Struthio camelus: one gene and its partner. The protein of the gene in region 1 interacts with the protein of each later gene in a biochemical or structural test. Links are inferred from orthologs where the notes say so. Each region holds a gene or a part of one and is shown in the gene's direction. Other genes may lie near its edges.

Region 1 (7,151 bases):
TCAAATACCAAAGGTCATTTAAAATGGCTAGGGTACCATTCCTGTGGAGAACGGCAAGCTGCACAGCAGCAACTGGTAGCAGACAACGCACGCGGCACCAAGAAACTCCTTCTCCCATTTGTGATCTGCGCAAAACTCCCTTTGGTTTCCTAGGGGAAAAAAAAGACACTATTTATCCCCAGGTAATGCAATCTCAATCATTTTCTTCCTCTAATTTGCCATTGCTTTTGTCTAGGATAATTCTTGAACAATATTTTCATAATCTGTGAATTTTACAGCCTAACTGTATAGCCATTATTCAAGCAAAAATTCTGTCATTAATCAATACTAGCACTAATATCCAGAAGATCGCAGTCTAGTGATTTTAGTAGAAATACATTAATTTCATGTATCTCCAAGAAGAAATGACTTTATCAGAACTCTAGCTTAGGTGGTGGATGTCGATCTGTACTAATGCAGAAACAAGCAGCTAGTCCTGATAGACCATGAAGTTGGATGAAATAAAAATGAAATATTTCTGGTAGAGGGAAAACTTGATTTCTGAAAACTAAAGAAGTTGCAAGTTACTAACATGCCTGAGCATTAAGGGTCAGAATAAAAAGGGTTGGTTTTGCTTATAATGAACGCATGGTTTCCATTCCCACTGGCAATTACTGTGAAACTATAGCAACAGTTTTTAAGTTGAAAAAAAGAATTAAGATGATAACATTACTTAAGATTGTTTAGCAGCTGGAAACAATGAGTCAGGGCTGCCTGACTGGGCTATGTTTCAGACTTCCATCTGGCTATGACCTGCTCTTTAAAAGCTGTTGTAGCAAGATATTTAGAACAAAGATATTGTCAGGCCAGATGAGAAATTATGATTAATGCTGTGACCTTGCAGTCTTTTAACTTTTTTTTTTTTCGAGAAGAGCTGCTTTTTTCCTTCCTTTGTCATTTTATTCAAGAGTCCAAAGGCTCCATTTAAAAGAAAATGACTTAAAATACAAGGTTAAATGACTTAAAACCCAAGGTTAAAACTATCAAATCAATGTATCTAACAAGGAAAAAAAAGCAGCAATTTACATCTAATCTTACATATGCATGTGCTTTTTTTAGGAGGTACATACATGTACACATGCGATCTTATTGCAGTTTAGATGTAAAGTTAATACAGCTGAGGCTCTGGGATGGAGTGAAGGTTACTGTAGCTTGATTCATCTGCTGCCTCCCCGCTGCTGCTGCTGCTGCTCCTCCTGTTCTCATAAGCTGCAAATTTAAGCATCTACGAGATATTTTTGGTTGCTCCTGCTTATGGAGAGTCCTGAGCTCTCGTCGCTTGAGGAGAAGGCGCATAAAACTTGATTCAAGAGGGTGTTTGACACACGGACAATTCTAGAAAGTTAGTATTTGCCCTGGCATTGGTTGGCAGCCCTTTAACAGGGCCCGATGTTCACCAAGTGGTAACGCACAAGGGGTTACGAGAGCAACACACATTCCTTGCCCGTTGCTCGGATGATCTTGGGCTTGGCTATGAAAGTGTGTGGAAGCAGCTAGGAGGGAAGCTGCCCAGGAGGGCAGGTTTTCCTCTTGTGGACAGCTGGGAGGGTCTGCGCTGGCTGTGACCGCGTTTCGGGTTGCTTTGCTCTTTTGAGCTCATAAAGCCCGTCGTGACGGAAGGGCAAGAGACTCGTGTGGTTTAGCTAACCACACATGGAGGTTTAGCTAACCACACGTGGAGGTTTAGCTAACCTTATCTGCCTAGTTGCCTACAAATCTTCAGCTGTAGGTGACATCTGTAGTCCTAGCCTCTGAACCTTTGACAGCATCTGGTGTCATCTGATTACAAGAAATTCCTTAAATATGCTTAGAAGGGTAAAGTTACAGTTTTGCTGGAATTATGGTAAGGAATGTCCTACTGCAGTTTACGAATGAAACATTTCATTTGAAGTTTATGAACCTTGACTTGCCTCAGAAATCCCATTGGTTCTGTATTCACTTTACTGTAACTTGTTTAATTCTAATATGAATCAGAAAAATGGCCTGTTCTGCTATTTTTAAGTGAAAAGTTAATAAAGAAAAAGCCATGCAAATCAATAAAACCTGTGACCCTTAAAATACTGCTTTTTTTTAATCGTTTACTGGTAGTGCTCACATTTTGTTAGTCAGATTGCTATTAAACTTTTGGATTTAAAACTGCTTGCTTTACAGATGAATGATCAATGCAGACATGTAAGAGTCCTTCCATATCCATGTCCTCAAATATGTTTTACTTTTTGGAACAAGTTGCCACCGCAGAAGCCTGACAGAAAATGTGCTAACTGGCAGCAGAAATGGGCCATCTCCCAGCGGGTGGGCGACTGCGGACAACAGGGTTAATTCTTAAATCCGTGGATCAAAGACTGAGGACTTTTTTTTTTTTTTTTAAACCAAACATAACTGCAACGCACACTGTTAAAAGTAGTATTTTAGGTGGGACTCGGATGAATATCCAATTCAGAGATTGTCATGAAGGACGTGGTCGTGAAGAGTTGTGCTCAGTGGCACAGAGTCTAGTTGGAGGCCTGTAGCTAGCGGTGTCCCCCGGGGGTCAGTCCTGGGTCCAGTCTTGTTCAATGTATCCATCGATGACCTGGAGGAAGGGACAGAGTGCACCGTCAGCAAGTTTGCTGATGACACTAAACTGGGGGGAGTGGCTGACACACCAGAGGGCTGTGCTGCCATTGAGAGGGACCTGGACAGGCTGGAGAGGTGGGCGGAGAGGGACCTCCTGAAGTTCAACAAAGGCAAGTGCAGGGTCCTGCACCTGGGGAGGAAGAACCCCATGCACCAGGACAGGGCTGGGGGCTGACCTGCTGGAAAGCAGCTCTGCGGAGAAGGACCTGGGAGTGCTGGTGGACAACAAGTTCAGCATGAGGCAGCAATGTGGCCCTGTGGCCCAGAAGGCCAAGGGTCTCCTGGGGTGCATTAGGCAGAGTGTTGCCAGCAGGTGGAGGGAGGTGATCCTGCCCCTCTCCTCATCCCTGGGGAGGCCTCACCTGGAGTCCTGTTTTCAGTGGTGGGCTCCCCAGTAGGAGAGAGACATGGCACTACTGGAGAGAGTCCAGCGGAGGGCTCCAAAGCTGAGGAGGGGACTGGAGCATGTCTCCTCTGAGGAAAGGCTGTGAGAGCTGGGCCTGTTCAGTCTGGAGAAGAGAAGACTGAGAGGGGATGTCATCAATGTGTACAAGTATCTGAAAGGGGGGGGGTGTCAAGAGGATGAGGCTGGACTCTTCTCTGTGGTGTGCAGTGACAGGACAAGAGGCAACGGGCACCAAATGAACCACAGGCAGTTCCATCTGAACGTGAGGAAGAACTTCTTGCCTGCGAGGGTGACAGAGCACTGGAAGAGGTTGCCCAGAGAGGTAGTGGAGTCTCCTTCACTGGAGATATTCAAAAGCCTTCTGGACAGGGTCCTGTGCAACGTGGTCTAGAGGACCCTGTTTGAGGAGGGGGGTTGGACTGGATGATCTCCAGAGGTCCCTTCCAACCTCAACCGTTCTGTGATCCTGTGATTTGCCATTTGTGAGGTGGGAAGTTTTCCTCGACGGCAGCGGCCCTAAGACAGCAAGAAACGGGACAAAAGAGGGAGGGGTTATGCTGCAACTGCTGAAAAAAAAAAGCTTCAGGCGGGATTTGTAGCGGTGTCCCGCTGCCGAGCAGGGGCTGAGCGCCGGCTGCCACCGCGCCCGCCCCTGCGGTACCTGCGGGGCGGCCGGCACCGCCTCAGCGGGCCGCGCCCCGCCCCCACCCGGCACGGCGGGGCGGGGCGGGGGCGGGGCCCGCCTTGGCGAGCCCTCGCTCTAGTTGCCGGGACGCACGAAGCAAAGGCAGCTCCTATTGGCTAGCGTGAGGCAGGAAGCGCGCTCATTGGCTGAGCCCCCTGCGCGGGCGGCTTCTGCTTCCGGGTTTCCGAGCGCAGACCGCCGCCGCCGTCGTCGTGCCGGTCTGCGTTTCGAAGGCGCGCGTCCCCGCCGCCGCCCGGCAGTGAAAGGAGGAGGAGGAAGGGGGGGGGATAGAGCGGCGGCCGCCGCCGGCCCGGAAGTGACGACGGAGCGGCTGGCGGTGACGCGAGGGTTGCCGCGGTTTGAGTGGCGGCTGTGCGCGGAGGGGGGAGGGGCGCCGAACCGGCCGTCGGTCGGTCGACCGATCGGTCGTTACTGCAGCCCTCGGCGGGCGTTTAAACGGCGGGGCCCAACGGCCGCCCTCGCGCGCGCGGCGCCGCCGCCATGCCGCCCAAGCCCCCCCGCCGGGGGGGCGCCGCCGCCAGGAGCCAGCGGGCCAGCCCGGAGAGCGGCTCCAGCAGCGCCCCGCCGCCGCCTGCCGCCGCCGCTGCCGCCCCCCGGTAAGCGCCGCCGGGCACCTGCTGCGGGGAGGGTCGGGCGGTAGCGGCGGGGGCTGGCGCTCCGAGTAGCGCGTCCTCCTCAGCGGGGCGTTCGTGGGGGCGGGAGGGGGGGAGAGAGAAACTTTAGCAAGCCGTTAGCGTGGCTCAGGTGCCTCCCTGTACATCTGCGTGGCTCCGGCTGCCTGTTGTTGTGCTGTCTTGAGCTCTCTGTATACGTGCCCGGGGGTTATTTTTCTTCCTTAGCTCCTGTGTGGCTTGCAGAGCAGAATGGCCTTGCCAGAGAGTGATGCGTCAAGTCAGGCTGCATCAGAGTTGCACTTTAATGTTCTGTAACCCCTGTTGAGGTGTGTAGTCCGGTAAATTGGTGTGTTGCACTGGGATGCTACGAGTAATATTTTCCCCTTTTTCTTAGGCTTGAAATTGGAGAAAGTGACTTTGTTGTACTCTGTGATGTTCTGAAAGTATCAAACAATGTGAAAGAGAAAGCTTGGAAGACATATGAGAGCTTATCATCTGTAGATGGATCTCTAGTGAGTACCTGGTATCTGTAGCTCATAATTATATTGTAATAACTGCCCTGTATTTGAGTTCAAATATTAAACTGTAGCTTTGCTTGACTGAGGGCTTGGTGACTTGCAGCTGATGCTCGTGCAGTGTCACTCCCCTACCTCCCCCCCCCACCCCCCTGGGCAGCCTAACTGAAGTCAGATGTTACTGTGTACATATCTGCACAAAATAGTTTATATACCTTTACCTTTTTGTTAATATAGCCTAATAAAAGTAGGGAATGGTGAATTCTTTCAGCTTAACAATAAATGACAGTAGAAAACAATACCATGTGATCATTTAATTCTTCAGACCACAAGCTATTTCAAATATGTCTGAGTCATTTTTATACAGATCATCTGTTTCTCACCACCCACTGCCCTTAATGAGGTTGCCGAAAGGGTCTGGACAAAAGTGTTACAGAAAAGTGATGTTGGTATATTTAACTGCCTTTTCTTTTTTCACTGCACGCTAATGTTAATCTGGATGCAGTTGTGACTGAGGTATCTTCAAAGTTAGTCATTGGGCATGTGTAAATGTTATGCCCTCCCTTCATTTTTTTGCTCAGTGAATTACTGCTGGCTGAATAAGTTGACTCAGACAACAGCTACAGTACAATTAAATCGTGACTGAAGCTTTGTTATGCAGATCTGAGTTAGAGTTTAAAATACCCAGCTTGGAAACTAGCCCTAGTCTGAGGTCTAGCATAGGCTAACATCTATGTCTTTGTTGCGACTTCTGTTTATTCTTCTGTATCTTGAACTGATCTGTCAGATCTCATTTCCTGTGCTTTTAAAATTGCAGTATGGTATACTAGCTCTTGATGTGTTTGTGAGTTTTAGAACACAGTACAGTAATGGTGCTGGAGAGAGACTGTGTACGGCTCTTGCAGTAACAAATACAATTTCTGGCCTTGGGTGTCCTCAGGGTACATATACTCCAAAGCATAGTCAAGCTTCTCTATGAAGTGAAACAGAAGTAGTTAGTCCTATTCAGTGAGAAAGCCAAGACAATTTTCAGTATAATTGTGCATATTTCACTTACTGTTCACTGCCTGGCAGTGGCTAGATAAGACACAGGGCATTTGAAACCCTCCTGTTTGGTATCTGAAGATGATCTCATATAGGATTCAGAACAGGGCAATGACTAGATCTTCATTAAGACATTTGACTAGTATTTATTGTCCTGTAATTAATGTACAATTGAGGCCTAGCCTAAGAGCCTTTCAATGTATAGGGAAAAAGTCTGCATTATATTTTGGACCTATCCTGGACACTATCCTCAAGTTTCTGACACGTCATCAGGGTGTCAAAATAAGGAAACTGGCAAGCGTATGTCTCTTCTGGGAGCCTGGCAGGCCCTGAGGTTGCTACTTCTAGCTGAGATCAGTGCAGGCCTTATTTGAGTGTGAAGTCAAATTAACAGCTTGGCTGATAGCTGCTTCTCTTTCCAAGTCAAGCTGTTGTCATGGGGAGCAGGGCCTCTCGCTATGACAGACTGGCTTTCTGGTTCAGGTTGTGAGGACTCTGGAGGAGGTTGCCTAAACCACTCACTCCTTTCTCCTCTAGGGGAAAGATAATGTGCTTAAAGGGGCTGCCCCTGTGTTTGGCCTGCAAGCACCAGCTGTTCAGTGCTAACCTGTTTAATTCTGCAATAGGAGAAGTTGCATACATAGCTGCTTTCTGTTCTGAAGTGAAAAGGGAAATAGCAGGACATAAGTCTAGACAAATGCCTGCCAGAACACTCCTGTTTCACCTCGTATCTGTTTTGACTTTAGGAAAGTTAAACCATCAGACCATTGATGGAGCAGAGCTGTCATGATTCTCAACCTGTTTATGGAGCATGAAGACCTGAGCGCTTCATATTCCCTGGCACACTGGCCTGTGCTCCCTGGTTCATTTCCGAATCCTCCCTGCCTTGTCTCCAATGATACGGAGGGGACTTGATGTAGTGTCCCGGATATAGGATATTGTGCGAACTGGCAGAGATTCAGGGTGCAAACATGGTCTTAGACTTGGTCTAAACACCTGGTATAGCCATGCTCAATGATTATTTAGTGACTTTAACAGCTTTAAGAATTTTTGTTGATCTCTTCCTGTTGGGAGGAGAAGGGTTGGTAGCTGTTGCTCTCTGAAATGAATCTTCAGTGCCATCATCCACTGAATCCACCAACAGCACCAAAACTGTCTGAGTTGCTATTTTTTTCCTTTAAGATGTTACACTTTTTCATGCTCATGTTTTT
Region 2 (7,874 bases), about 53 Mb from region 1:
ATACAAAGAAATATTGGGATGAACAGTGGGAAAAAGGATGCAGTCACATTTCAGGAACTTCTGGATGGATAGTTGCATCAATTTATCTGAGGTATGCTTTGCTTATCTGCATATTTGACGAAAACAATGCTTTATTCCAAGCAAACCCTGAAGACTAAGCAATGATAGTAAATATTAGAGAATACTAAATGCTGCGGCTGCTCTTTTACTTTTTCGGTGTGCACTTCTGAGGTTTTGTGCAAACTTGATTGCCTTCAAAGAATTTTCTAACTGAGATGGTCATTTATGGTAATACCTACATCTACTTGCTGAGTTGTCGTTATGAACCTTCATCTGCTCTGCATAATGTATAAGCTGTAAGCATCAGCAAGCCAGCTAATTCTTTGCAGAGTAATAAATCAGCGCACGTCTTTGAGCTGGAAATTAGTAAATGCAGATAATTCCTCACAAGGATATCTGGCAATTTGATGCACAATGCAGAACATACAATCAAGGATGCAGAAGATAGTGGGTTTTTTCTTTTTTTTTTTTTACTGAAATGAAAACACAATATTTCATGCTTAGGTGTGAAAGCAGTATAGCTTAATAAAATAAAGCTTATCATTCAAGTCACTGTTGTACGTCACAACTAATTTATCATCCATTTCACACAAACTGCATGTGATGAACAGTGGCCTTTGATAATTATTTTCCTTATAAAGTGCTGGAATCAAAGGACATGTTTTAAATGTTTGGTCACAGATATCACCTTGCTGGTGAACCCCAAATAGCCAGCCTTAAGTGGCTGATATGCATTCTTGGATAGTTGTAATGTTTATAAACTGTCTTTTCCATAGCAATCTTGATAGGCGAAAAGCACTTAATAGCAAGATTGTTGGTGTGTTTGCATATAAATTAAAAGAAAATTTGGCTGTGTGCAAGTATAGTTGCTAACAAAGGAGAAGATAATTGCACAGGTCACTTAGGGACTATTTTGACAAATAGGTGTAACAGATTTTTTTCATCAAAACTGGTACTGCTCCTCACAGTCCACTAAAATGCAACTTGACTTGCAGAGTCTAAACAACTGAGTCTTCCAAAACTGGTGGGGGGGGGAGGGGGAAGGGGGAACTTTCCTCTCTTAATTTAGAGTTTAATCAAGCCCTACATTACATCACTGAAAGACAATTTTGTCTACCTTTCTCCAAAAATAAATCACACTTTGCCAATTATATTCCAGGTAAGCCGTGGTGGAAAACCACTGCTGTTCACAGCCAAATGCACACACAATATCCCACCCAATGCTCAGATCGGCTTGATCCTTCAAGGGGCCATGTAATTAAATTTCATCAAGAGCTAACAGAACTCACTTAGAGCCAAGAAGCCTGACAGAGATTTCCTTTATTCAGTATCTGAGTTTTAACAGATCAGCACTCTGCACCACCACACAGGCTCTGAAAAGCTCAATCTTCACCCTCCCAGCATTTCAGGAAGGCCTCAGCACTTTGTAGGTTTAGACACATACTTGGCAGCAGATATCAAAACAACTAATAAGTGTTGCCAAAAGCAAGTTGGTAACTCACCTTGTACGATCAAGGTCCTATGTCTGTGTTAACATACTCACTAGTGCATTCCTATGTAGCAGATTATTCTGCAGCTTCCAATTAATTCAACAGAATTCTCATTTTCAATAAGTAAGCCATACATAGCTTTAATTCCAATTTGTGCAGGTTCAAGAAGATTAGTATATGGTTATTTGGCTTCTTCACCAGAACATTTCTGTTTTTCAGCACTTTGGCCCATAAAGGAACGGTTCATTACAAACGCTTCCTGTTCAAGGAGCTGGCTGTCTACTCCAGCCTTCTCCTTCAATTCCCATGCTACAACCTTTGGCTGCTGTTACTAGCCTCTGCGCTCCCCAGCCTCTCCTAGACATAAACATTTTCCATAACTGGATTCCTTCTTTGAAACACTGGAGTCCAGACTATAGAGGGCTCAGTCCATGAGGAGTTCCTCACAGAGTGAATATAAAAATCCTGGCTCTTACTTGGCTGTGCAAGTAAGCCTTCTCTCTTGCCACAATATCGCTAGCTGAGCACAATGATCTCCGCTACAGAGCTAATTTCAGCCCCTTCTGGGGCTCAAGGCCTTACCAATATAGGATTCTGCTTCCTGAGTTTAATATCAAAGCACTGATCTAAAGACTTTAAGTCACCACATGATAAAAGAACTCATGCAATGTGGAAGCAGAACGTTCCTCTGATTTTTTAGGGGCATTTGGGAGAATTTAGCCTGATTCCTAACTGCCTCTATTTCCATTATTCTGTTGGAAGGTGCTATTAACTGCCCTCAAGATCTGCTCTGGTTAAGGCTATTTTATATGCCAAGTGCTGTTTATTCAAGCTTAATAGAAAGCAGTTAAATGAAATGGCCTTTTGGTTAGTACTCGCTGAAACAAGAGAAGAGACTAGAAAGGTTGGGCATGTCCTGGCAAAGCCATACATTTGATTTGTATGTGACTGCTTAAAAGAAGCTGTGTCACTCACCACAGACAATACTTCTGACCCTAACAGACAGCTGTAGGATTTAAAACTTCTGTAATCCTGACTGATATTATGTGAGTGGGAAGTCAAGAATGCGGCTTAGTTTATTGGCATGCCTTTATTGCAACTCAGCAAACTTTCAAACAGGTATTTCTTGCAGCAAAATAAAAAAAACATATCTTCAGGCGCCATTGTTGAAAAATAGTAACTATTTAGCAGTGGTCTCTATAGCCATTTTTACGTATATTTTCTGAGCTGTGAAGTGGGCTTAGTATCTGAGTTTGTAGTGCAATTTAGGGCTTATTAGTTAAGACATACTAAATGACGTCAACCACCATTCTTTGCTGTTGCACCTAAGTTTGTTTCAAATGTATAGAGGCCGCCTGATAGTTGCTGGATCTCCAAGAAATTTTCGCTTTACTACCATCGCCCCAAATAGACATACATCCTGGAGCATGGACCAGAATAGGGTGTAACCGACACCGAGCAAAGAAACTTCCGCGGTCAGATCCTGCTTCTTGTGCAGGGAGTTGAGACCACCTCCTTCCTCGCCTGGCTCTGCAGCCCGCATGCGGCTGCCCGGTGTGACAGTAGTGCCACCTCCTGCTCGGCCCGCCGAACTGCACACCGCAGTCTTGCACATCTCCCCCCCCACCCCGCGTCTTTCCCTTCTTCTTCTTTATGCCCTCTAATCCCGTGGCTTCCCGATTTCAGCTACCTCTGTTGGCTTACATAAGACTAATGTCTGGTTTTCATTCCGGCTGAGATTGTTTTTTAACTTATGTTAAATATGTCGGCTGTTTTTTCCCCTTTTATGACTAGATTACCGTTTCTGATTGGTAAAAGGGAATATCTTGTATTTTGGGTATTTCTTTAGAAAGAGTCCATTTGTTTTCATTTTTCTTCTCGTTCACTGCACTGTTCCTCCTTTCCGGATCTGTGCAGAGTTGCATTCATGAAAACTGACAAATGAGTTAAGTACCATTATCACTTCTGTTTCCCAATTCCTACTTCCCATGTGCAATCAGCGATTACGCACTTGGTAACTCTGCCTTAGCGTTGCAGTAACAAATAAGGTAGTATAAAGAAGAGAGCCATAATAGTCTTTTCATTCCTCATCTACTCTTGAGTGCTGTACGGATTTTAATACTTCCAGAATTTCGAATTTTTAGTTTACCCCTCTCCTCGGAAGATCAGTGTAAATCACGTTTGTGAATAATACTTGGGTACTTTGATCCTCTACAGCGCTACTGAGGGGAGTGCTTCCCATTTTGATTTCTGGCAATACCCACGCTCGTTCTTCTGTTATCAAAAGGGAAGGTGCTTGTGCTCTTTGCAGTAATTGTGCCTGCAATTACTGCAGGGGTACCGCGTGGCTCTCAAAACTGTGCGCCAGGCGTCCCCTCGGGGTATTGTCCGAGTGGCGAAACCTATTATTAAACGGGAGGTCTACCGTGCTTACTCTGCATTATGCATGACTCTGAACAGCTCGGTATAGGGGCTTTTCGGCAGCCAAGATGTCCTTTTTCTAAATTGTATTTTTTTAGCAATTCCAAACTCTTGGTGAACAGATCATGAACACCAAATCCCTGCGTTTAAAGCATGCTCCTTTCATATGTCTCCGCAGGATGAACTCAGCTTGTTTTAGATGTTCTGAGGCAACTTTTGAACCGAACTGGCAGGTTGCTCTGTAACGCCTTTAAATGCGGTTAAAAAGCAACAAAAGCCGTTTGCCAACTCGCACAGCAGTACCGTCGGCGGTTTATTTTACTTAAGGCCCCACCTCGCGGCATATACACGTCCACGCCAATCTTAACCTTCTTCTGAATAAAAAGCCGCGCACTTGCGTGAAACCCTGGCTCCTCCTCGCCCTCCGCGACCCACTCAGTAACGCCGGGGGACCCGCCCGTGACACGGGCACGCCTGGGCGTAGCGACTGCCCGCTGCCAGCGCGGAGCCGGGCTCTGGGCCGAGTCCAAGCGCTTTCCTGGACAAGGAGGCGCGTGTCAGCCGGCCGCGAAAAGCCCCAGGGCCCCTGGGAGCCGTCCGTCCGCCAAGAGCCCCCTGCCCTCTCCCGCCCCGCCCGCCCTCGCAGTGGATTCAAGGGGTCGCAGAGCGCCGGCGCGCGCTTCCGACCGTTAGGCGCCGGGCGCCCACCCCCGCCCCGCCCCACGCGTGTGCTCAGCGCGCGCAGGCGGGAGGGCGAGCGAGGGGGCGCCTCCTCGGAGCGCCCCGGCCGGACTCGCAGCCCCGTCTCGCGCCAGCCGTTGAGCGAGCGAGCGAGCGCGCGCGCGCAGCCCTTTCGCCCTCCCCATTGGCCGCCGCGGTGGGTGGCGGCGTTCCGGGCGCCGCGGAGAGGGCGGGGCGGCAGCGCATGCGCGGTGCCGCCGCCGCCGCCGCCAGGCGCGGGTTGGGCATCGGCGGGGCGCCTGACGCGCGGGAGCGGCCGCGGCCGTGGCAGCGGCAGCGCCGCCGCGTCCTCAGCTGCGGCGCGAGCTGTGCCCCCTCCCCCCCTTCCCCGCCGCTAGCCGGTACCTCCTGCCCCTCACCTCGCCTGCGCGCGCACACACACGCCCAAAATGGCGAGCAAGGAAGGTAGGAGAGCACCCCCCCCCACCACCCCGCCTCCTCCTCCTCCTCCTCCTCCTCCTGCTGCTGCCCGGGCTGCGTGGGGCGGCCGTGCGTGAGCTGGGAGGGCGCGAGCGGAGGCACCCGCGGCCTCTCTCGCGGGGGCCTTCTGGCTGGGCGGTGTTGGCGGGGGGGGGGGTAACTGTCGCTCTGCCTCCGGTTGCCCCTCAAGAGGGTTTCGGGGCCCCTCTCCGCACCTTCACCCCGCCCAGCCCCGCGGCGCGTGGCGGGCACCGCCCCTCTCCCACCCCACCTCGGTGGCACCTCCCCCCACCCCCACCCGCGCAGCCCCCGGCGCGTGGCGGCGCCGCCCCCGCCTGGCGCGGCGCGCGCTGAGCCGTTGGCTTTTCCCCCTCTCCCCCCCCGCCGCCCCTCGCCCAGCGCTGGAGGACACGGTGGAGGAGCGCGTCATCAGCGAGGAGTACAAGATCTGGAAGAAGAACACGCCCTTCTTGTACGACCTGGTGATGACGCACGCCCTGGAGTGGCCCAGCCTCACCGTCCAGTGGTTGCCTGACGTGACCAGGTGAGGGAAGGAGAGAGAGAACTTGCTTGTCCTGCCGCTCTTTCGGTCGCTCTTCGCGGTGTCTGCTAGGTAATTGGAAGGTGAAACCGCAAGAGACTAGAATAATGTGGATTAGGCTCGTCTCGCAGTAAGCTTGTAACAGTTCATTTTACTTACAGCTCTCAAAACCCTTTGGATAGACAGAAGCTTTGAAGGGGAAAAAAAGGTACATATTGATACTGTAGAGAGCTCTAGCCTGACACAGCAAGATCTGCCTTGAGACGGCAGGGAAGAAGTCTTCCTTACTTTATTTTATTGATATGTAAGAGACCTAGCTGTTCTGCAGTAGCTTCTATTCAGAGAAAGAACAAACTTACTAAACTTTTACATGAATAATATTTTTCCTCATGTGCATTACCAATTACTGTTCTGTAGAAGATACACTTTTTTTTTTTTTTTTTGGGTCTGGCCAAATTTAAGGGGATGTTGCTCGGTAGAGACTGTGGCCCTTAATATCCTGCTTCTGTCCCTGGCATCGTTGACCTCAGATAACTTAACTTTCCCATTCTTCTCCCTCCCCCTAAAAGTTTGTTGGGTAGCTGGTTAATTTCTTAAAGAATTTTTAAGAGAGAGATGGATTCTCTTGATGTCCCAGCTACTAGAAAACTTAAATTCTCAGAGTAATCACTCAGGACTCCACAAAGTTAATGGACAGGTGTGGGTCCCTCATGCTGCTGTATCACAGATACAGCTTGGCTTTAAAATCTTACCCTTAAAGTTCATGCAGTAAAAAGAGGATGATCTTTTTCCTCTTTAAAATTCCACTTGCATAAGTGGCGTTATATGTGGTGGTTAGGTGATCACTTAATTTTGAATGCCAGGACGTTTGGGGAAGATGTGGAGAGATGTGAGCTAACTATTCATGGCATGGAGAAAATGAAATGGGGAATTTTTCTGAGGGTATGGAGCCCTTATGAGGAACACTTCTGCTTGCCTCATATTTTGCAGATTGACTTAATATTCAGTTAAAAACCTGATATTTCCAATTACCCAGTGTCAGAATATGTAAGCCATATAAGGCAAGGACTGTCTCTTTGTATGGCACCTGACATGATGGGACACCTATTCCTAATACAAGTAAGTGTGTGTGCATTGTGTGTTTTTTATTTTATTTCCCCCCCTCGCCCCAATTGTATGGTGATGCCCTGGAATAGGTGTAATAATACTGATGATGTTTTTTGATTGCCCACGTGATTCCTATTTCCTCTTTGCTTGGGTTCAGATAGCAGAATTAATTTATTGCTTTCAGGAACGCAGAAGTTGCTTGTTTTTATTTGCGTGTTCCAATTTTCCTTTCTCAGATATATGACACCGTCTCTCTGACCTTTCACTTATTACTAACTATTGCATTTAACCATCAAAAGGAATTTAATTATAGTTAGCTAGGGTTTGTGCACTGTTTAAAAATCAACTTCTGAAAACTGTAACAAAATACCAACTGGTAAAAGCATATTGAAAGGAAAGTAACTGAAATAGATTGCTGCTTTTCTCGGGTTTTGTTTTTTATAGAACATAGTATTGCTTGTCTTCCAAATTGATACTATGAGATTGCAAGGAGAATTAAAAATAGGAGTAATTACTAGGCAAACTTTAATTATCCTATTCGAGCAATAGCGGCAGTGTTTGTTGACTTATATTGTCACTCTTGGCTTGCTGGATGTATCCTTGGCTTGCTTATGTCAGGTAATTTAGTTCACTTATTAATTCACAAGTCTGTTGTGGTAAAGCAAGGGATCTCGTACTTGAATATTTTTGTTTTCTGTGGGTTTGTTTTGTTTTACTTTTTTAAATCTTCCTGCAGAAGTCTGGATCTTCAGGGTTACTGATACTAACCAATAAACTTTTGGAAATGAGCTCTTTAATTTTATTCTGTTTTTATTACTCTAAACAGGCCAGAAGGAAAGGATTATGCTCTACACTGGCTGGTTTTGGGAACACACACCTCTGATGAACAGAACCACCTGGTTGTTGCAAGAGTCCAGATTCCCAATGATGATCAATTTGATGCTTCTCAGTATGACAGTGAAAAAGGAGGTGGGCTCTGCATGCGTTTTTAGATGGTGTTCTAGCAGTAGTATTAACAAATGTCCTGTCCAATGGTATTCTAACTTGATCTTGTGTAGTAAAGCTGACATACTTACGACTTTACGCTAATTCTG

The links.
Region 2: the proteins of RB1 (region 1) and RBBP7 form a complex in vitro, tested with the Homo sapiens proteins (3 studies listed by BioGRID). The link is inferred for Struthio camelus from reciprocal best matches to the Homo sapiens genes RB1 and RBBP7.

What each region holds. Positions count from the first base shown.
Region 1 is NC_090942.1:192,180,858-192,188,008, forward strand, and holds the start of RB1 (retinoblastoma-associated protein), read left to right. Parts: upstream 1-4,132; 5' UTR 4,133-4,247; coding exon 4,248-4,363; intron 4,364-4,775; coding exon 4,776-4,893; intron 4,894-7,151. UniProt on the Homo sapiens protein: Tumor suppressor that is a key regulator of the G1/S transition of the cell cycle. The hypophosphorylated form binds transcription regulators of the E2F family, preventing transcription of E2F-responsive genes.
Region 2 is NC_090942.1:138,746,198-138,754,071, forward strand, and holds the start of RBBP7 (histone-binding protein RBBP7), read left to right. Parts: upstream 1-4,872; 5' UTR 4,873-5,101; coding exon 5,102-5,117; intron 5,118-5,531; coding exon 5,532-5,676; intron 5,677-7,606; coding exon 7,607-7,749; intron 7,750-7,874. UniProt on the Homo sapiens protein: Core histone-binding subunit that may target chromatin remodeling factors, histone acetyltransferases and histone deacetylases to their histone substrates in a manner that is regulated by nucleosomal DNA.